2 linked regions of the Drosophila melanogaster genome follow. The protein of the gene in region 1 interacts with the protein of each later gene in a pairwise test. Each region holds a gene or a part of one and is shown in the gene's direction. Other genes may lie near its edges.

The links.
Region 2: the proteins of Sse (region 1) and thr interact in a two-hybrid assay, tested with the Drosophila melanogaster proteins (one study listed by BioGRID).

The regions. Positions count from the first base shown.
Region 1 is NT_037436.4:5,655,884-5,666,680, reverse strand, and holds Sse (separase), read left to right. Parts: upstream 1-4,433; 5' UTR 4,434-4,526; coding exon 4,527-4,599; intron 4,600-4,683; coding exon 4,684-4,879; intron 4,880-4,942; coding exon 4,943-5,414; intron 5,415-5,471; coding exon 5,472-5,831; intron 5,832-5,885; coding exon 5,886-6,184; intron 6,185-6,241; coding exon 6,242-6,567; intron 6,568-6,623; coding exon 6,624-6,802; 3' UTR 6,803-6,981; downstream 6,982-10,797. Other genes in the region: CG46320 (uncharacterized protein), read right to left, coding at 645-710; lin-28, read right to left, coding at 9,562-9,645, 9,708-9,858, 9,928-10,076, 10,226-10,362.
Region 2 is NT_033778.4:17,858,754-17,871,696, reverse strand, and holds thr (three rows), read left to right. Parts: upstream 1-5,733; 5' UTR 5,734-5,846; coding exon 5,847-6,146; intron 6,147-6,201; coding exon 6,202-7,191; intron 7,192-7,249; coding exon 7,250-10,099; 3' UTR 10,100-10,183; coding exon of another isoform or gene 10,184-10,368; 3' UTR 10,369-10,424; downstream 10,425-12,943. Other genes in the region: mapmodulin, read left to right, coding at 321-368, 2,889-3,265, 3,328-3,410, 3,609-3,914, 4,138-4,371, 4,444-4,487; CG14490 (uncharacterized protein), read right to left, coding at 10,184-10,368, 10,490-10,898; orai, read right to left, coding at 11,903-12,439. UniProt on the Drosophila melanogaster protein: Required specifically for chromosome disjunction during all mitoses; maternally provided protein is sufficient until mitosis 14 then zygotic protein is required.

The DNA.
Region 1 (10,797 bases):
CACATGCGATCATCAAATGGACCAGCATACGACAATGGGCATGGGAACATGAATGGGAATCCAGAGTGGTTATGGGAATGAAAATGAAAATGAAAAGAGGAAAATGGGAAAATGGAACTGTCTGCTCGGACTGAGAGCAGTTCGCGTGCTTGCTGCACGTGTTGTTGTCTAATTTATTTTTAAATCAATCTACTCTCACCACTCGGCACCCTCATTAAAGTTGCAATCGGGATCGTCGGTCTGACACACTTTGGGGCGATGATCGACATATCGAAAGGGATCACCAAGTTGTTGACAATCTTAGGGGCTTTTCTTTTGGTAGTTTCGGGTTGATGATCTCTAGAGACTCTTGATAAAATATATACATCTTTCTTGATCTTTGTTTGGGTAATTTAAATCAAACCAAACTTCATAGATAGATTAAGTTGATAGTCAACAAAAGATACAGAATAGAAATTATCCATATTTTTTAAGTATAGAACCCCTCAACCATATAGAGCCATATGTTTGAGATACTACGACAACTTAGATAAAACCTTTTACTCATAAAAAACCCTACTACTACTGCTTGTGAGTTTTGTGCTTTGGGAATTTATGGCTGTGATATTAGTTTGTTTGCTTTGCTTTTTATAAATAATACACACCTCCACATGGCCCCAACCATCGGCGTTCATTTTGGCGGCTGCCTCGACACTTTCCTTGGCGCCCATTGTTTTGTTTTCGTTTTAGGATCGCGTTCAGTTTGGTTGATGTTTTCCCAGGGAAATTGTATCGCCACACGCTTTGGCTATGCTTCTTTTGTTAGCCCCTAACCGCTGAGTGCTCTTTCAGGACTCCGAATTCAGGACTCTGGGCAGCTGTCAGATGTTATTTATTTTGGGCCCCAGCGGAGGACCAGGAGCGTCTGCGTTGTGAGGGCCGCAAAACTCGTGGGCCTGGAGACTCGGTTCAATGTATAAATATTGAGCGGATTGACGTTGACGTCGCTCCTGCTGTCGCGAACACACGCGCGCACACACACACTGGCGCAAGCAAAGGACTCGCTCTCTCGTTTTCCTTTTTGTTTTTTGTGTTTGCTGAGAGAGAGAGAGAGAGAGGGATGCTGTGGCCGTTGAAGGCGGCTTTCAATCGACTTTCGTCGGGTTGAACGTGGTGCTGACGTTGAAAGCAGTTAAATAATAGAACAGGAGCACGTCCTGCCCGTCCGTATGTGTGAGTGCGTGCGTGTGTGTGTGTGATATATCCTGCTGGTATGTCCTGGCCTATATGGCGTATACGTATGTCGAGTGTATTATTTATGCAGCAGAATGTTCTTTGCTGATACTGCTGTTTTCTTCTGCTTCTCTAGAGAGTTTTACTCCTTTGTTTGTCCTTTATTTTTGCTCTGCGTTTTCCTGTAGTCAGTTTTTCACTTGGTGCTTATTAACGGTGCGTATGATTAACTTTTGTATAGCTTAGTTGATTTTATCTTTTGTAGTTAGGGATTTTCCTCTTGCTTTAGTGCCTGCGATTAGGATATAATTTGAAATTTTGTTACGGATCTGTTGTTTTATCCTGTGGCCTTTGATTTGGCAACGCCTTTCGCGGCCCACCGAAAAAATGTTCGTTTTTGGCCTGCTTTTTTCGTATGTTTTCGAAACTAATTTCGTTAATTATTAACTGATCACTTTTCACTTTATTTTTAGGAATTTTCGGTGTGTCTGAGTTCGATTTTCGACTGGAAATAACGAGATATTCCGTTTTTCGACACGAAACCGAGAAGGATGAAGGCGCTGTGTATTTTCGTGTAGCCAAAATACCTACAAAACTTGACGAAGCCCAAACGAAATGTTTTCACTTGACGAAACGGGAGAGCAAAGCGGTGGCGAGAAGAGAAAGCGGGCAAGAGCGTAGAAAGAGAGCAAAGTAGAGCAGGAGATGAGCGTCGAATTACAGCGACAGCCGAAAATTGCTGCCCCTCCCCCTCTCCGACACTCCTCTTTCTTCTCCCACAGGCTTATATTTTAATTTCGATTTCTTTCTTGGTTTTCCGTCGTTATCCTTTATTTTGTATGCCCTCAGCCTCTGCTTCTTCTTCTGCCTCTGCTCCTGCTTCTCTCCCTGCGAGTGTGTGTGTGTGTGTGTGTGTGTGTGTTGGCTTAGCTTAGAGGTATGTGCAGTGGCTTCAACGCCCCCTTCACCCCTCTCTTTTCGCTGCGTGTGTGCCTCAAAAAAGTTGCATAAATCACCACACCTTAATTTACTTAAATGTCTTTTCTTGTTGCGGAATGTTTGTTGCTTGAATTTTACTTGATTAATTCATTTTCGTCTGCCTCGTGGGCGTTTTATCCACTGGGGCTGAAAAGTATGCTACGCTCTTTCCGCTTTTTCAAATGGCTTTTCTTAGGATTTTTCTTATTATTTCAGCTGGTTTTTATACTTAGTTATTTTCTATTTTTTGTGAAGCTAGTTAAAAGCTTTATTTTGTTTATATTAGTATTTTTTGGAAGCAAGAAAAAGCGACAAAACACAACCGTCGACGTCGACTTCGAAATTCGTTTTGAGTCGCTCAAATGCAGAGGGATGCTGCGACGCCGACTGCGCAGTCGACCGCGACATCGCTGCAACTGTTGGAATGTGTGCCACACACACACACACATACTCTCGGTATTTTTTTTGTTTTTGGGGTGGCTTAGCTCTTGTTGTTTTTGGCCTTTCGTTACATGTGCTGCTGTGTGCGAAAGTTTTAATGTCTCCCCAATGCATATGTGTATGTGTGTGTGATTTGGCGTACGTGTGTGTTAATGTAATATTAATGTTATAATTTGCTAGGCGGAAAGGACAACGAACGTGCCGAGTTAGCGACATTAATAATGCAGCCAAAAAACATAAAGGATAAAGGCCAGTGAATTTAAAGGGGGGCTTGGTGATAGGGCTGGCTTAGTGGTGTGAGGGGGTGGTGTCTTTTCTTTTCCATCATGACAATCAAGCTAAAAAATTTCCGATTAAAGGATCAAGCCTCTCTTTTCCAACACTGGCCCACCAGGCAAAAGTTCTTGAACAGCACGTTTCCCGACAAAGTAAAAGTGAAAAGCAACATCAAAATTAATAAGTAGAAAGGATGCTGACGCTCGCGTCGCTGTCGCTGTCGGCAGTGGCAGCGGCCGCAGTAGCGGCAGAGGCAAAACCAAAGAGAGCAAAGGTCCTTATACCCCTGCGCCAATTCAATATTTATCGAAGCTTTCGTTGAGTTAAAACAGCGACCAGCTGCAGCTTCTCTAACGGTAATTATTCGCTCTAGCCGCTTGCACTTCAAAGTTTTTAAAGGTTTAACAAATGTTTTTGCATATTTTGAATATTGTTAACAACTCGTTTTAATTAGCAAGAAATACTTGAAAATTGTATTTCAGAAATAGGCGTGGCATCAAAGCTCGAGCCGCCCACTCGCATCGGTTAAATACCGTTATCTCTTGCTGCCTCCAAAAGACGTCATTAGAAAACTGCAGTTTGCAGCTGACGTCGGCAGAGGCGGCAGCAGAGCTCCAGACGCACGTCACAAAGTCTTGGAAAAAGTACATATTTAAAAATCAACAAAAAAGCCAGCTTAAAAGTTAACCAAAAGTCAAAAAATAAAATATTGTATCTCGGCTCGCATATGCATTAATTGGCCGCCTATATGTACGGTATGTACATATGTGTGTACTTGGCTTTTGTTGTTGCGTAAGGTTTTTAGGGCAACTAGAGGGTGTGGTTTAGGGTTGCCAAAAACTAAAAGGCTTTAAAGGCTAAGGGTTGACCCTCGGAAATGAATATGAACTGCATTTGATGGGAAAATAGCGCTAATATATTTTAATCAGACACTAAAACACTTGAACAAATATTTAATTGATGTTAAGGCTCCATTTTGAGAGGGTGTGGTTGCTGCGCAGCTTCCGCTGCTCATCCTTATTTAGGTGGCGTGGCAACCCTAACATCTGTTTTCCGGCCAACCTGCAATCTCTTGCACCTTTTCATCTCGATTCATGTTTTTATGAATGAACGGCCGCAAACATCAACAAGAGGGAAAGCTTTTTGCTGACAGCAAAACAACAAAAACGGGTGTACTAAAAGCTATAATGCCTTAAATCGTACGATTATAGTTTATTGGGCATAGGATGTTATAAAATTCTTAATTACTTTAAAACTACATAACTATGATCGTAAAAATTACAAGTTATCTGTAATTAATACAGTAATATGGCGTACCCGAATTGCTTGCAGAAAAGTAAATATTAATATTCATATTTTTAATTAAGTTTCATTTTTGTTAAAGCTTACGAATTTGACTAATATTAAGTACAATGCTTTTCACAATAATAACCGCGAAATTCAAAAAAAGTACTAGAAAATACCACAAAATGAGCTAGTTTCCTATCGCACATCGCCCATCGATAGCTCAGTGTTGGTAAAGGCTACAAGGCATCTATCGATATCGTCCGAAGAGGAGGAAGCAATTTGCGGACTCGAGTTTGAAAATAAGCAATTAAGTAAATAATAAATAATAGGAAATGCTGGAAACCGGTGACGAGGCTGAGATGCTGGCCGGTTTCACCAGTTCAGATGTTGGCCCCGAGGCGAAGGGTAACTATATAAGCAGACCCAGAAACTTCGAAATTCCCACTGCATCTTCGCAATAATATGTTAATGTTCATGTTTCTTCTGCAGAATATAATTTACTGCGCGCCGATGAGGAATACCGCAATGGCAATGTGGAGCACTCAATTTACTACCAGGTTAAAGCCCAGTTCCAGTCCACCGATCTGCGTTACCTTACCGAATCGGCGGAACTGGAAAATCAGCGTCCCACCGCAGAGGAGCTGATCAAATCAGCCACTAAACTGGAGAAAAAGGACTACAAAAGGTGATATATAAACTAACTAAACTCTTTTAAAACTCAAACAAACATTACCAACATTATTCTTAGCAAAAAATTTCTGCAGAACATCATCAAGTACCTCCAGCAAATGGAGCAGGAGAAACAGCCAAAGAAGCCAATCAACGAAATACCAGAGTATCTAGACTTCCTGGATGATGTCCAGGATCCTACAGAGGGTCTAACTCGCATTTCAGAGAAATGCAATAGTCTGCCCCAAGAATGGTGTGTCCTCCAGCTCTGCAAGAGCTTTAATCCCGCCACCACCTACTCCGTTTTCAATGAGATCATTGCCAGCGATGGAGCAATATATCTCACTCTGCTCCGACACTGTAGAAGTTCCCAACTGGGACCGATTTGCCTGAAAATTTCCAACGAAAATACGGCAAATCTCTTTCGAGAGTATAGCACTCTGGTGGAAAGATTTAGGCGAGTGGTAACCGTGGATCCACTCAACATGAAAGGTAAAGAGGCTAAGCAGAAGTATTGGGAGGAGCTGAATGGTTTTGACACTTTTCAGCAAGTAAGTACTACACATTAATATCAATGTATCTTATTAGCATTACTTTACCTCTTCTAGAAACTACTTGCCGACTTTCGGGACATAATATCTCCATATTCCTTTCTGTTCTTTGGCAAAAGATATGACTGCACTGTTGTTCAAAAACAAATCAAAGCCACCTATACTCGTGTTGACGATTTCTGTCTGCTTAATCAATGGGGTACCCACCAACGTGTTTTACTTTCCCAAGCGGCCTCGCATGCCAATCGACTGGAAATCGCAGATCTCAAACTCATCTGCTATGAGCTGTCGAGCAACGAAAATGAGATCCAGTCGGCATACGAATTGCTTAAGGGTTTGGCCAGCGACTGGGCGGAAGTGGAGGAGCGTCAGCCCCTGGCGAGCAGAAGATTTCCCATCATCCTGGTAGTCGATGAGGTAGTTCATCTGAATTTCTATACTATAATACATACTACTATATTATTTATGTAGCGTCTAGACCACCTCCATTGGGAACAACTAGTCACCGTGCAGGAATTCTCCCGCGTCAAATCACTGCATTGCCTATGGCGCTTGTTCCAGAATCACAAATCAAACATAAAGCATGGCTACTACACAACAAATATTAAACGTGGCATGTGTGTAATAAACCCAGATGCGGATTTGGTCAACTCCGGCCGCAGGCTGCGTAGCTTTTTTGAGTACTGGCTCTCCCAGTGGCAGCATCTTTTTGAAACCGTGCCCAATGAGGAGGTGATGGTGAAACAGGCGCTACAGGCGGATTGCTTTGTGTAAGATATGATTGCAAGCGAACAATGGCATTCTAATACTTTTGCCTTAAATTTTAGATACGCAGGTCACGGTTCTGGGCTGCAGTACGTCAATGGTCGCATAATTTGCCGGGCTCGGGTACGCAGCGTTGTTTTTCTATTCGGCTGCGATTCTACACGCATGTTGGGCACGGGCCTGTACAGCGCATTGTATGGAGCCCATGATTATTACCATGGAGCTCTGTGTCCTTCGATAGTTGGTACTCTCATGCCCGCCTTGGATGGTAATATGGATACTGTTTCGGTGACAATATTGAGTCGTTGGTTGGCCCCGGGGGATAACAAAGTGATTCCGTGGACACATATTGATCGGGTGCCTTGGCTCAAAAATGGCATTATAAAAGGTAATGTCTTATTTATATTATTAAGTTACATATTTAAGGAATTCTTTTAAATTTAGGAAAAGATGAAACCACGCCCACCATGAACGATCAACCCAACTACCATCTGGGCAGCCTGTGCTCTATCCTATCTCTCGTACAGCAAGGAAAAGTGGAGCCGAATATCTACAACTGCTGCATTTACGTGTGCCGCGGACTTCCCGCATGGAATTTGGCCGTGGAAAAGCTGCCTTTATAGCTCATTTCGTCGTGGAGTCGATCTCCCTAAGCAAAGTTTTGCGTATGGAACTGTGTACAATAATTTAATTTAATTGAACTACTTCATTCAAGTGGAAAGTGGTGCTCAAAGTTTGCATTAAACGCTAAATGTAACACTCAGAATAGTAAAAATAAACTAAACATTTATATATTAGGAAGAAATTCCAAGGCACTTACCTTTTCTTAGTTTATTTGGAAGATTGAGTGATGTTTCCTTATGGATTTAGCACTTTAACTGAAGTGTCCTTGATTTCGGTTAAGTTTTTAGTTTTAAGTAGAAGTTTTAAACATGTTTAGACTTTGTACATTGTGTTGTTGGAACTTTAAACCGTTTGAGAACTATTTAGATTAATTGATTTAGGTTAGAGTTTTCGTTTTCCTTAGTTGGAATCATGCCAGATACAGAGTACAGATTCATTCTTACATTTGCCTGTGCAAGAGTAGGGAGTGAAAAACATTAATTCGAGTACAAATCGCAATGTGGGTGAGGTAAAGTAAAAAAGTGAAAGTGTGGTGCAAACGACAGTCAGAGAGAAAGATATTGAGTGAAGGAAACATTGAGAATTTATAAAAATGCAATATAATTGAAATGCGAGTGGGGATTAGGCTAAACCCTCGTCCACGGGGCGAATGTGCAATAATGCCTGAATGCCCAGAAACGCCCATATATTTATTTACTCGCACTCGTACTCGGGCTTGTCGCCCAGTTTGCTCTCCAAAAACGCGACTCATCTCACCTCGTTCCCATCCTCGTCCTCGGGTTGCCCTTTTGGCCAGAGCTTTTCCCCCACCGAACCTGCGGCGACCTCCAATCGCCCAGCATCGCATCTACTTGACCTACTAACGCCTGTCGCATTATGACACACATTCGTTAATTAGGCCCAACCCAATAACTTCTTTTCTTCCCAGCCATCTAATCGCCGAGCGCGCGGCGTATGCGTAATATGCGTGTGTTTTTCTTTTTTTGTGTTACGGCCTCGATTTGCATGCCATAAAAAAAGGCAGACACACCTTGGCGCGTCCCTATTTTTATGATTTACCAATAGCTGGGATGGGCGGCCAGTGTCCTTCGTCCTTCGTCGTGGTGTCTCAATGCCGTGCCCATGCAGCGAGTTAAATCAAATTAGCACCCGTAGGGGCAGCAAATCCGAGGTGCATGCCATGCCACACCCCCAAAACACACACACACGCAAACAGACACACACTCACACGTACGCGAGAATCGCGAAATCGAGAAATGGGGACAGGGAACAAGGAACAAGGACTTGGAACATGACAGGAGACAGCGTCAGAAGGAGGATATTACATAACAGGCGCTCCCCATGTAAATCTGGTTGTAAATTCCCAGTGTGTGTGTGTGTGTGTGTTTGTGTGCCTCTGGGTGTGTTGGTGTTGTTGTGCTCTTGTGTGTGCTTGTGTGTGGGTACGAGTGGTTGTGGTTTGGCCCAAATGAATATGCGATGACGTTGACGTTGCTATTGTTATTGTTATTGTTTTCTATCAGTGGATGCTGATGCTTTATTATTGTTTGCCCAGTTAAAAAGGTAATTTTCTCATTTTCTTTTAACCTTGAACTCTTAGTTTTCGCCAGCATTTTTCCTTTCCATATTTGTATAACTTATGCGTTGAAAAACTGTTTTCATTTTATGCCAAAAAAAAAAAATTGTACAAACTTTTTCCGTTTACTTTGTGTAATTTTAATTTTTTTAATGGTTTTTTTTTTGGTTTTGGGGTTTGTGGGTTTTTGAAAATTTGTTGCTGAAACGCTTTGTTAACTTTGTTGAAATTCTTTTAGTTGTCTAAGTTATTGTTTTTGGTTAAGTTTGATAATTGGACTTGAGGGTCCTTTATTTTTGGGTCTTCATATTTTTCTGTGTTAATATGGTGTAAATGTAAATTCCGCCGCGTTGCACACAACAATTCTCTGGCAGAGATCAACTGAGACTGAGCTCGACGCTGGCCTTAGTTGCATCCTTTTGGGTATCCTGCTCCTGCTTCCTTGGCGAAGGACAAAAATCGCGAGAGAGCGAGCCCGAACAAAATGTTGCAAACTAAACCACAACAAAAACAGCCAAAAGGGCCAAGAGCCAAGAGGCAGAGAGGCAGCTGGAGAAAAAGAGAGAGAGAAAAAGAGAGCGACCAAAAAAAGGCAGGACTTTCCCTTTCCCTGCTCCTCCTGGCCATGTCCTCGCCCAATCCGTTTGTTGTTGCTGCTGCTCACTATGTTTCACTTTCAGGGGGTGGTGGGTGCTGACTTTAGCGCCGGGAGCGGCGGGTTTCAGGTTTCCAAGCTTACACAGTGATTCTGCGTTTTCATGGTGATTCCATTTGTAGCTGTTTGTTGTTGCCCCAAGGAAAGCTCCATTGTTGTCAGTGGCCACGTGACTCGCGACCAGGACTTTCTTATCAGCACAGAGCTTTTAGTTCGGCCCCAGGGTGCAAAAGCTCCGATTTCAAAAAACAGACCAAGGGATGCTCTCTAGCTTAATTCGTTTACTTGGGATCTAGTGAAAAACCTTAGCAACTATGGTTCCTAGAAAATAATGTTAAAATAGAAAATAAACTTAGGATAGGATGGTTTTCGGGGCGCGTCTCTTCCCGCTAATATCTAAGTGTAGTAGCTAGTTTTGTTGTACGTGGGTTTCTTTGATTTGATGCGTGTTTTTTCTTAGATTTCCATTTTGTACTTGTCAAGGAAGTTTCTAACTTCCAACTACCAGTCCAAGATCCAAGGACTTCCTAGGTGGCCTCCTCGCTCTTCTCTTGGGCTGCACTGCTGCTGCTATTGTTGCTTATGCTTTTGCTATTACTGTGGCTTTGGGTCTGCGAAACGATGTGGGCTTAGTCCTCGAAATGGGGCTGTGGAATCGTAGAGGAGCACTTACCACATTCTTGTGCGGGCAGTCGGCATGGAGATGGTCTTCTCCACGGCAGCGATGACAGCGCTTCGGCTGAGGACCCAAAGCGCATTCGGAGGCAATGTGATTGGCGAATTCGCCGCAGTTGTAGCAGCGCATGCGGCGAGTCCGGCGATTTCTGTTGGGTGGTTGGTGGGTAGGTGGTGAAAATGGGGAAAATTAGTTAAACGATTGGGTATGAGCTCACATTCGCGGCCTGTAGGTGCTGCCTTGGCAGCTACCGCCATGCCTGCTGGACACCCTGGTGGCCTCCAATCCGCGCGACGTGCGCTGGCACTCGAATTCCACCTCCTCCTGCTCGCCCAGTGATCGGAAACCTGACATCTGGATGACGCTCTATATGCATACGTTTATAATGAGAATTATATTGAATTAATGCATTAAATATTAAATTATTATACCGATTTTCCATATTCTATCGGATAGTACATAAGGCCTTGCATTAAGGAAAGACCTCAGTTTCATCCAAGAAAGAGAGTACCCACCTGATGGACGAACACCTCCTGGCCGCCGTCGTTGGGTGTAAGGAAGCCCCATCCCTTGGCCACGTTGAACCATTTGCATTTGCCCAGTCGCACACAACCGCATTCCTCGGTGGGACTCGCAAGATTTGCCGGATTCGCTGGAGGGAATAGAAAATGAAACTTGAGTTCGGTGCCCAATTCGATATCCTGTCTGGGAATCCCTCTGTTCAAGGTTTTGTTATTCAAATGACCAAGCGGCAAATAGGCAGCTGAACAACATTCATCGTGTCCTTGCCCCATTTGCCGCGAGGCAAGTTCAACTTGGGTTAGGTTCTTCTCTAGCCCTCCACGTCCCCATCCCAACTCAACGCCCATTGAGGGCAGAAAACAGGTTTCGTTGTTATTATAAGAAATATTCGGAAATAACTGAACGAGCGGCGCGGCGGAGTGGATTCATTCCATTATCTAAGCAGGGGCTCATCTCACTCACACACTCGCACCAGCCCATATCCATTTGGGCTGGCTCATTCATTCATTCATTCATTCATTCATAAATTGTTTTCACTTCGCTCGCTCCCATTTCGCTGCCAGCT
Region 2 (12,943 bases), on another chromosome or scaffold:
TCCCCCACCCACTCTCCACCCATCTCCCTTTTTAGCCATAAAAATCTGCGAAAACCAAACGGTGGCGGCATCGAAAATACCGAAAGAAGCACAAAAAGAAAAATTTGCAAGGCTGCGTCTGTGTTAGTGAGCGTGTGCGAGCGCGCGTGTGTTGCTCTGTGTGCGTGTGTGTGTTGGCGAGTGCGAGTCTTTTGCCTTCAGTGCGTGCGCTGTTTCTCGTGTGGAGCCCAAAGGAAGAAAAACACACAAAAATACAAGGAATCCGCTAAGGAAAAAAGCGTAACCAAAAAGAACATCCAAAACAAACAAGTGCCGCTGCAATGGAGAAGAGAATAGAACTGGAAAGACGCGCACGCAAAGTAAATCAGGTAAGCTAAATACAAACGATGAAAAAAAACACGCGCCACAAACTTAAATTGAGGTCCAAATTAAGTGACGCTTTCGTGTGTGTGTGCATTATCATGTAAATCTAGTTTCAATTTGTTCATAGACGACATACAAAAAGTGCTACGGAAGAAGCAGCAAAGCGGCATCAACAAGAAAAACGAAAAAAAGAAAAGAAATTGATCGCCATAAGCAAATTCTACACACATGCCTCTGTGTGCGTGCGTGTTTGTATGCATGTGACGCCAGTGTTGCCATGTGCGCGCATTTTTGCGCCTTGCCTGCTGTTTGCTCCTTTAGAATGCAGGTTTTGAATTCGTTTACAAGCTATTACGTATTTAATTGCAAGTCCCTGAGTGATTTTACTGCATGGCTGATGGAAAGCGATCTTTTCGGGCCAGACGAGCTAGAGCACTTGGAATTGTATTATCTCCACAGCTGGCAATGCTCCTCGCTTGTTGTTCTTGCTGCTGCTGTTCTCGTCGTAGTTGTTGTTGTGGTTATTGCCGGCCTTCAATTGTGACAAACACGGGCAACATGTGTTTGTGTGTACGTGTGTTTGACTGCATGTTGTAATTTCAGGTTATTTGATACCAAATTGTATCTATAACAATATTATAGCGCGCGCATCATCCGCACAAACACACGCGTACCACGCACAAAAGATACACATGCATACGTAAGACGACTTATGCACAAAATAATCGACACATAGCATACATATCAGTACATCCATCCATACATATGTACATACATATATTGACTGCGCAGTCATAATACTTTTATGCTCCCCTTCTTCTTTTCTTCTTCTAACGTGTTTACCTGCACGCCATCGCCTCTAGCCATCCCGCTCCCGCCCACTCGAAGTGGCAAAGAAATGCAGGCGAAAAGACAAAGCCGCTGATTAATAAACATGCGCTCTGGCTGGCCGGCCAGCCTACTCAATCTCAATCAGCGGTCACCCAACCGCCCAGCCACCCACTGCCCGCCCAAAATGCACCCCACAACAGCGAAGTCAGCAGAAGACAAAAAATAGCAACGTATACACACTCATTCGCGCCTAAGTCAAAGCCAAACGCTGTGTGCATTCATTTCCACTCATTTGCTCAAATACAGTAGACACTCTCTACTGTTAGCTATATTTTAGATCATTTGCATTCCCCACTTTGGTGCTTACTAGATCGATCAATAGATCGAGCACAACCGAATTCTTAGCCGTGAATTTCATACGAACATTTTTTTCATTTCCAATTTTTATAAATTATACCTTTGGGGAAGTGCCACTTTGTTTCCTTTCCAAGAGTTAAATTTTTTGTTTAAACTACACCATATCCATAAAAAGATTCTTAACATAGTTAAATTGATTCCATTACCAAAAACATGATTTTGAAGTTCATCAAACAATAAGTTATTTATATTACAAAGTATATCAAACCGAATACAGATTAGGTTTTGCAGTCAGTTTTTATTTACAATTTTATATTTTCATATTCAATTTTGTTGATAATTATTAAAAATTGTGTTGAGCTACAGTTAATTTTCTTTTAGGATATACCAAGATTCTTGCCACTTAGAAATAAAATAAATTTGAACCATAATTCAGGTTAGAAAGTGTCCGCTGTAAGCACATAACTGTTTCTCGGCTAGACAGAGACGGACAGACGGACTCTGAAGGCACCCATTTTGTTTCTTTGTTGTTGGTTTTGTTGTGGCGTCGTGACATATTGATAATTGGGTAATCTGAAGTGAACTTGCACAGCCTCCAAAAGGCGTACGTTGTGTACATTTATTCATTTGTAGATTATCAGACCACAAAACACCACCCACTCTCACCCCCACCCACTATTCGCAGACAGGCGCAACAACTAAACTACGTCACGGTCAACCATGTTGTTGTTGTTTTGTTGCTGCGAGTGCCGGCTAGTCTTGTTGTTCCCCTGCCATCTCCCTTCCACTTCTTGATAATTCCGTTTTGCTCGTCATTCTTCTCTTTGCGCATTCTGCTTTGTGTCGAAGCACACGCACACATACACACGCTTGTGGCACACACACATATATTGGGGTTACATAAACGCGAGTTGGCACTTTTTCCTCGTCGCCTGCATTACAAAAATATGCAATTTGGCGATGGAGCAGCAGCAATGTTTACCAAGTCATTTGCATTAACGCCAAATTGGTTATTTTGCATGTAATTTCGTTTTGCATTTCAACAAAAAAAAATTTCTCAGCGTTTGATCGATTTTTGCGTATGTATTGTTCTCCATTTTTTTTTTCTGTTCGCTTTGCGTCAAAAAATGTTACAAATGTGACCAGACTGCGAGGCTTGAATATTCCACAATGAATACATCAAATATACCAAAATAATCGGTATCGTTTGTTCTTGTCTTCAATAACTAATATCGATAAGTAATAATTGGTTTAAAAATTATTCAAAACTCGTTTCATATAAATAAAATGAACTACTTCTAATTTATGTATTTACTCTCAACCCTATTATAACCTAGATCACAGAGCTGAATCTGGACAACTGCCGTAGTACAAGCATCGTTGGCCTTACAGATGAATACACAGCCTTGGAATCGCTTAGCTTGATCAACGTGGGTCTCACCACACTGAAAGGTTTCCCCAAGCTGCCCAATTTAAAGAAGCTCGAACTGTCCGACAATCGGATTTCGAGTGGCCTCAACTATCTGACCACTAGCCCCAAACTGCAATATCTCAACTTGTCTGGCAACAAGATAAAGGATCTGGAAACCCTGAAGCCCCTGGAGGAGTTTAAAAATCTGGTTGTTCTGGATTTGTTTAATAACGACGCTACTCAAGTGGATAATTACCGCGAGAAGATCTTCAAGATGTTGCCATCGTTAAATTTCCTAGATGGGTGAGTTTGAGTAACTTCTTTCTATTGTAGAACAATAAAAGTAACTTCTTGACCACTTCCAGATTTGATTGCAACGACGAGGAGGTGCAATCTGATGGCGATGATGATGATGAGGTCAACGGCAACGATTCCGACGAAGTGGGAGGTGTGTATTCGACGTATTTATAGAGACCAAAGATTAAATCGCAGAATTCAGGAGTTTTTTTTTTATAAAAGATTTCCATGTAACCACCATTAAAATTCCATTGTCCGTCTGTTTAACTTAATCGCTTATTGTGAATCGCGCTTTCTTCGTATTAACAATAATATCATATACTCAACCGTGGCTTTTGTCGCCTTTCAGATAAGTGCAATGCATTCTGTTTAAATGGTTTAGAGATCGATTTAGACGAGCTCGAGGCTTTCGAGAAGCGGGTTAAGGCGAAAAAAAGTTTGCAGGACAAACCACCTCCCCAATCGGAGGACAAAGAAGTAGACGAATTAGATGAATACTTGAAAGAGTTGCAGCTAAGGGAATCTACTGATGCTTCAACCGATGAACAATCTGTGATAAATGCCACACCGCAGCCTCCTAGCAATTCTAACTTAAGTTTTGTAATCCTGCTGTATTGGTTCCTTGCCATTTTAAATTTGGGCAGTGCTACATATTGTAAGCATAACGTTTCTGAACTTTTCTTCAGTATTAGTCGAACTTCTCTAACTCGAAAATGCTGCAGAAAAAGTAAAGATTCTCTTACCCACAAGAAGCGTTATAGTAGTTCGTAGGTTTGTTGATCTCAATTCCGTTGAACACATTAAAAAATCGATTTAGGGAAGTTCGAGATGTACAAACAAGCAAGTTGGTTTAATCAAATTTACCTTTGATTTTTCAGTTTCCGACGAAGATGACGACAGCGATGATAGCGACGAAGAGGCGAATGGTGAAGTGTCCCTGTCGGAGGTGTACAATGACGATTTGGAAGAGGATAACTCTGATTGGGAAGGCGAAGACGAGGCTGGCGAGGAGGACGAGGAAGAGGATTCCGATATTGATGATGCCGATGGTGATGCAAACGAATCGGCTGCATCAGTGAATGCCAAGGACAAGGATGGCGAAAAGGAAGCAGGTAAGTTCAATTATTTATATCCCAGACAGCATTAGTTCTTAATGCCATATATTTTCCTTTTTTTCTTTCCAGACGAGTCGCAAGTCAGAGGCAAGAAGAGAAAGCATGATGGTTAAAACCCTGATCTGTCGGTATAGCGTCTTTGTACGTTATAAATTTAAATATACACCCACACACAAAACAAAAACACACACACACATCATATTTTGATAGAAAAAGATGATAAATCCTTTAGGAAACCCACAATTTGTTTCTCTAAAATGTAAGCTAATGAAAGAAGAAATCGACAAAAAGAAAAAACAACAAACAACCCAAACAAAGAGGAGCATAATGAACGTAATAATCAAACAAAGCTAAACAAGAAAAAAATACATGTTTAAGCGAGAAAAATCGAGGAGGAATGCAAAGGAAACCAAGCAAACAACCAATTAAGCAAGTCGCATTAGTATAGCCTCATCCGAGCCCAAGTTCCAGTTTCATTTTAAACACCTTCGCCATCTTCAGGATTCGCAACATGAAATCCAAATCACTATGTTAAAGATTACACAATTACAACGTGTACAATTTTTAGCCATCCAGCAGCATCTTGTTTTCAAATTTCAATCAGTCACGAAAATCAAACAATAGCTTTCCGGCGTTATTTGAACAACTGCGGATTTGTCAACGTTTCGCGTGAAAACGATCACACAATTTACTGCTAAGAACTTTTAACTAACTCTTAAGTCATTCCTTCTTTAAATACGCATAAGTTAAGCATCCTACTTCGCCCACTTTCTGCTCAAGGCGATTTAAACACACTTACATTGTTACCCATCACCCACCTCCCAGATACACAAACTTTATCTCCGCGTCATTCTGTAAACGTAGAGCACTCACTTTTGAGCAACCCGAATTGTTTACCTTTATATACTTTTAAGTGTACTTTTACCACATACCGAAATGTTTCCACTTATTCATTGGCAGTAGTGTTTTCATTAAATGTGGCGAGTAAATCTTATACACAAAACAATTTTAGACAAGACTTTTCATTTAATACACAAGTAATTAACCGATTATTATTAAAGCAGGCCCCGCGTTAATTTAACGAGATGAGATGTGTCTTTACCAGCCCATTGAAACTGAAATACATAAACTACATCATTTTAAAATTGTCTTTTACGGGGGAAAATGGGAAAATGATTTCTATTAAAGAGAAGAGCTTACGCATATGAGCGTATTTTTTTTTATTTAAATCTCGATATCAATAAAGCAACAAATTGTATCGTTATCGGAAATGAGCATGGAAGTTTAGTATTTTCCACAAGAATTTGTAGTATTTGTGTTCTGATATGAAAACTAGAGATATCGATGTTATCGTTAAAGGATTTCCAGCTTTAGCATGGACGGTCACACTGGATCTCAAAATCTGGCGCAAAGCAACAAAAAAGGAAGCGTCGCAGTTAAACTAGTTAAATGTGCCAATTCCCTTTGAAAAAATGTCTACTGATATAGCCACCCAGCTGAAGGGCAGCCGCTCCGATGTGGAAAAAGTCCGCAAAACGGTGGAAGCCAAATTCCGGGAGTTGTCTGGCGATGGACTACCTCTGAGATACGAAGTGAATGTATTGCGCCATATTTGCCTCGCCTTAAAGGATAATCTGCACCAGAACTCGGATCTTTACTGCGACATCATGGGCATAATGCTGCCACGCGTAGTTCCCTGCGAGGAGAAGCCAAGCTTATGGGAAGCGCACTTGTCCAGCCTGCGGTACATACATCATGGCTTGTTTCATCAGGTAGGAGTCGCTATAAGAATCTTCGAATCTTTCTAACCAATTCTCCCGTTCACAGCGATCCATTGAAGCCTGTCAGAAGCTGTACAACCTCATCCGACAACAACCCTGCCGTCTGCAAGAAGAATCAGACTACAAAATATATCTGGACATACATTTGACCCACTTCAATGGTTTCCATGTGCTGCTGCAGAAGCAAAAACTCCCCTTGGAAGCTACAAGTCAATTGTGTTATGCTTTGGAATCATTGGGAGATCTATTCGCAGCCATGACGCAAAGGCAAATAAGTCTATGCGCAACGCTTCTAGTTCAACTAAACGAGAGTTTATTTGGCAAAAGAAGTAGATCATTCTTCAAGTCCCTAAGCTTCCTGCCGTCGGAGAGTCTTGCCAAAATGTTCAACGCGCTGCTTATGCTCCTGGCCAGCAGCACCAGTTCGAACCTGGCCAACTTATTCCCTGAGTGCCTGAGTCTCACGTTGGCTCTCGTACAAATCGACATGTTCAGTCCACAGTCCAATCAACAGATGTCATTGCAGCTGCTGCGCATGAGCAAGGAACTATTTCGCCAGGAATCAAACCTGTGCTATGCTCTACAGCTGATGTACTACTATATCAAGTTAATCTTTGTTCGGGAACCCACAGGCGACTTTAAGCGCACCTACATTGACTTGTCTAGCAAGTTTCAGCACTTCTTCGAGCACAAAGTAGCCTCGCATGCCAAAGAACAGTGGCTAGCGGATTTTCTGGTGGCCATTCAATTGCTACAGGTGCTCATCCATCAAAGTAACAGTAAGTTGCAGAGTCCTTTTCAGATATTTTGGCAGCAGTTTGACGGAGAGAGCAGCCCCGATATCTACACAGCGCACTTTCAGTTGCTTCAGACGTGTGCTAGCTTGGCGGTTAATATTACGAGGAGTCCTTTGGGCTGCACTTGCTCCCACGAGGCATGCAAGAGCGTGCGACGGCACTGCATATTGGCGTATGGATTGTGCGCATTAGATGCGTATATTAATTGGAAACCGGCGGCGGAGCAGAAAACAAATGTGGTGGGTATTTTTATCTAATTTTGTGGAATTTTAATGCTACATTTCAATACTATTGCAGAGCCCTCACAAGCCCTTACTGGGAGTAGTCAAATACTCAATGGATGTAGCTAAGACCATGAAGTGTTTGGGTCCCACCAGTGTGGAGATCATTAAGCTAGTGCGCCAGCTGACATACGTGGCTGATCAGGTCACCTGTCCGGAGCAAATGTCCGTGCTGCTGCCACTTTTGGAGCCACTGCAGAAGCTGCGACCTTTGGTTGCCGACCAGGATATGAGCAGTTTACTCCGACGCCTCTTTAAGGCCAGCTCCCATTGCGGCGATTCCAATATAGCATGTCGAATTCAAGCCAGTTACTTGGCCTCGATTACGAATCCGGCACGATTAAGATCACAGGTCTGTTTGTACTATCACAATCTGGGAAAAAAGGGCACCGAGATCAAAAGGTGTGTCTACGAGTGGCACGAGTCCACGCCACTACCTTTCCCTCTCACTCCGGACCAGAAGAAACAGCTGTATGATACCGATTTCTTTGCCTTACTACACTATTTGAGGAGTCCTTCTACGGCTCATATGGAATCACTTATTCGTTGCCGAACGAGTGACTATCATCTGGTACTCTTGGCCAGACAAATGCGAAAGGATGACTCGATTTCGAAGAAATGCATAGAGGTTCATGATAAGCTAAGGCAACAACGTTCGCTCAGTCGAATGGATAACTTGTGCCTGGGCCACGCAAGTGTGGGACTACTACTGGACGCACTGGAGGCTCAAAAAACCAAAGTTTCCACCAAGGAGATAACGGAAAATATGTTCGAGGAGCTGCTACTCAGCAAGAATTTATGGCAGATGAACATACAAAGGGAGCAGCGATTGGTCAACTATGCTAGTGAAGCCATCTCGGCCTTCAGCAACTTCTTCGATCGAGCAGATCAAGAGCCATTGAGCGCAAATGAAACGTCTATTGATTGGGAGGCATTGATTGACGATGCCATCGCTACTGCCAATGCACTTTCAAGTATGGGGTATCAGTCAGAAGAGGATGATGCCTGGCTGTTGCTTCTGAGGATGGGTCGCTTGCTGGAAGATCGTTTTACCTATCTGCGTGCCCTAAATCATTTTCTGTCACAGAATGAGGTTAGTTCTCGTTTAAATCTGAAACTCGGCGAGGAAGTGGAAGTAGCAGAGGAATTGCTGGATGATTTGTGGCCTCAATTGAAAAATGGCAAATTCTTCAAGCGTCAGCAAACTACGGTAATGCTCTGTTTTTGTCACCTCGCCAGTTACTATGCCAGAATGGAATGCTATAGTCATGCCCAGTTGCTTCTATTGCATGTGGAACAACTTCGCGAAGAGTTTCCTGAGAGACAAGGAAAAAGTGATATTGTATTGCTTACACTGCAAACGGTGCGCTTTCGAATTGGGTATCAGCAAAGGAAGCCAACGAATTGCAGGCTGCCGACTCCTCTGCGTCAATTGGACATTCTTCTGGACAATGTGCGAAGTTTTTGCAATCTATCCAGTTTAGATGGCGGCTCATTGCAGCTGCTTCTTTCGACTCTTGTCAGGGAAAGCACCGAGTGCTCTGCGAACAGATTAAGCGAAAGACTGTCCTTCTCCAACATTGCACTACATTTGGTACTCCAATCTGGCTTGGCTTTAAGAGCCATAGAGGTATTCCTTGCATGGTTATGGACCAATTTGCAAATGGAAAGTTTCGACAAGGCGCAATCGAAGTTGAGACTCATCGAGCATTGTTTAGGTATAAAACAGCTGAATCCAACGAGTAGGCCGGAAAAGGAAGCGATTAAGGATGTAGCAATTAGAGATCTGGCTAGTAATATGCATCTCCTCCAGTTGGTGGAGCCGATCAGAAAGCAGCAGCTATTAAATATGGCCTCGCCGAATCTGCTCAAAATGCGACCACATAGCCCAAATCCCCAACTGGACTTGGATCGCTACATAACACTCGATGTGGCGCCAGCGAATCTTCGAGAGAATTCCCAGCTGCAATGCTTGTACTTTGTAACGGGCTGTCTACATGCACGTCTCCGCTTTCTGCAGAGAAACAGCGAACAATTGGACGAATTCTATGGAAGAGCGCATAGTTGGATGCAGGAAAAACCTCCGATGAGTAGCGCTTTGTATCCCATGTTGCATGCCCAGCAGCTGTATCATCTGAACTATCTTCGCTTTGCGCGAAAGCATGTAGAGGCTATATCAACGGCTCAATTGGGCCTTAAAATGCGATCACGCGCGGTCGACATTAACTTCGAGTACAATTTTTTGGCTCAGCTAAAGACGGCTCAGTTAGAACTCAAACCCGTGGGTCAGGATAAGCCACAGGTCAAAATCCTTCGACGTGCTTTGGTATTCAATCACTCACCCGAAGATAAGAAACGAACCGCAATAGGATCGGTTTCAGCAGTCAAGAATACGGCGTCTAAAGTTAAACAGTCGGCCAAAAAGGCACCTCGATTCAGAATTTACGAGGAGCTGGAACTACGACCACCAAGTGCTACCAGTTGCAGTAGCAGCGGTGGCAGCGGAACAGAGAATACACCGCCTTCGGATCACGTGGATCTAAATGCCTGCCAAGCGATCGAGATAAGCGACGATGACGATTCACCTTTGGTGTCCACAAAGAAGACACAACCAAAAAGTAGGGAGAAGGCAAAACCCAAGGCCACATCCAAAGCTTGTAAAGTCCTAACATTGGATAATAGCTTGGAAATAGTAGAAACGCCGACAATAACTACAAGTACACGGAGCACCAGAGCCAGGCTGCGCCAACCAGTAGAGACACCAAAGACAGCGACTCTTTCATCCAAGCGAACGAGGCGCCAGGTTTTGGAAGCACAGGCTCCCGAAACGGAGTCCATTAGCACACGCACACGGCATCGGCACTGATTAGATAGTAGTCTCCTTAGTTCGTATTTATTCTTATCGAAAATGTCTTGGTATTTAAATATATATATATATTGTGTGTAAGTGTTACAAAAGAGCTTTTGACATAAATTCATTGTTTTTATCTTGTGGCAGGGACAGTAGTGACGTTCTACAGATGTCCTTGCTCCAAAAACCGTGCTGAATCCGCTGTCCATTGCTGGCATGGTAAAATACACCTGAGCCCGATTTGCAGCCTCCTTCAAATTGACCCACGTAGCGATTTCCCGTTGCTATGGATAACATATTAACTTATTATCTATAATCTTTATGCATTTTTAAAGTTGCGAAAAAATAAATAAAATGAAACAAATACATCCAAAGGAACATATCTTATTTCTTTATCACACTCACCCGTGAAAAGTAAACCCTTTTCGTGCATCTTGTCCCGAAGCCACTCGCCCACATAGATGCCGCCATCCGCCTGCCATAGGATGCCCTCTCCACTTCGCTGGTCCGCTAGCCACTGACCAAAGTAGACGGATCCGTCCGGATAGAACTGCTTGCCCTCGCCACTCCGCTTGTTCTCCCGCCACTGACCCACGTAGATGCGTTCCATGCGGCCATCGAGCTCCTTGCGACGCAAACTTCCGATGCCATGCCGTTGACCCTTCTGCCAGTGACCCTCGTAGACAAGTCCACTGCTCGTTTGCTTTACCCCAAACCCGTGAGGCTGCTGGCCCAACCATTTGCCCTGGTACTGCCCACCAGGATAACGTTGAGAGCGAACTCCACTACTATATCCGCTCGTACGCGACGACATGTCTTCGATGACTGAGCGCGGGAGCAAGTCCGTCCAATTGCGGCGGTGCCATGTGGTGTCGTCCGACTTTAGGCGGCGGTGTGCGTGCGGTGGTGTCACTTGTCTAATCGAACCCCCCCAGCCAGCAGCAGCATGTCTTGCCACCATTTGGCTTCCTCCAGCAGCGACACGCTAACTTAAGGAGGCCAAAGACATTGGCTCAATAGAAAATCGTTTGTTCCGGTTAAGTGTATGTAGTAAAAATCGTTTAATCAGTCGTATATAAATTACAGCGCTATTTAGCTTACATCGGTAAAGATCGAAAATAGACTGTTATATTTTCCAAAACTATTGGAATACCTATGAATATAATTCGTATATAAATATTGCAGTACATTTTCAAATACTTTATTTTACAATTGTTTTATGTTGCATATAAAATATATCAAATTGTCTCTAAAATTTTGCATTCTTTTAATCCGCATCTATTGTTCAGCTATATATCACGATTAAAAATAAAACTCCAACACCATATATATAGAAAATTCTTTTAATCATAAATTATATGGTATAAATTACAGCGCGGTTTCGCTTACACAATTGGCTTAATATTAAATTTGACAATCAAGTTGTGTCTTAAACGTAAAAAGGGAAGACTGCCTAAGGATGGTTGCAAAAAAAGAAAATCCGGCATGGCATACAATTTAAAATACACGCAATATAAATATGTAACAAATATCAGCTAATTTTTTGAGGAATATTCATCCGAAGTATTGCTTTAATTGGGGTCTTTTATCATTGTCAATATCCGTGCTAATCCGCAATTGCCATAAGTAAAATAAAGGACTACAGCAGCACTCGCACATATATATATATATATAGTAGAAATCTACTGAATTCCGCGTATCACAATTTTAATCAACTACAAATTTACAATATGTGTGTTTCACTAAAAATAATCTGAAGCTTACCCTGAGCCGCTGTCTTTTTCGTTCGATCCACTTGTGCGGATACGCCAAGTGATGCTAGACAATGTCCCCGGATGCGCCATAGTTCATGCCATTATTTCGTATGTTATTGTGATGCTCCAAATGATCCTGCTCCATCTGCTCCTTGAGCATCTCCAGCTCACGGATGCCCGAGACTGTCACCTCATATTTGTGCGACACCAGGGAGCGATAGAAGTGAATGGCGAAGGCCATAAAGATGATCATCACCGGTATGAGGACCACACACGCTGACCAAGCCGCCGGCGGACTTAGGTCATAGAATTTCACCCAGCACAGGATGGCTATCTCCAGTAGAAAGAGTATGAGTCCCAGCAGCGTGGAGAATGCCCACGCCGTTTCAATGTACCAATGGAGACGCTCGTGTGGCGATTCGTGGACCAGGGAAATACTATGCAAATTACACACCGTCTCAATATTTGGCAGGATACAGGTGCTGATCATCAGGGCCAGCATGTGCACCGCCACCAGGAGGGTGGTGCAGATGGCGAAGGCTATCAGCATGCCCGGTGGTACATTCGTATCGTGATCCAGTTGCACCTCCACCATCGCCACCTATGTGAAAATTGCAAAAGTGAAGAAAGTCATTAATGATTTTTATTTAATTTTGGTTAGAAATCGAAACGATTCCCCGGCATCGCCTCTTATTATTATTAGCCATTTCTCGCGAGAACATTGCAAAATTGGCAAATAAGCAACTTTTCTCTTATATTATGTGATCTGAATGGACCTAATTTATCTGATCCGCCCCTAATGCCGCGCCTCCCTTTCTTCAGCATGCTAGGTGTACATGTGGAATGCATAACAAGTTGATGAACCAAAAAAAAAAAGCGACATATAAATACCTCGTCACTCAATTAATTAATATAATAATTCAGCACCTGCAATACTTGCACATTTTCCAATTGATTTATTTAATATTATGTACTGCATACTATAATTTAATAATTTATCTAGATTTAACTGTGTCGTGTGTGGAATTGCTAGACAATAAGTGGGAATTTTAACAATGCTGGGAAACCAACGAATGTATCATGATGTATGTTGATATTTGCTTTG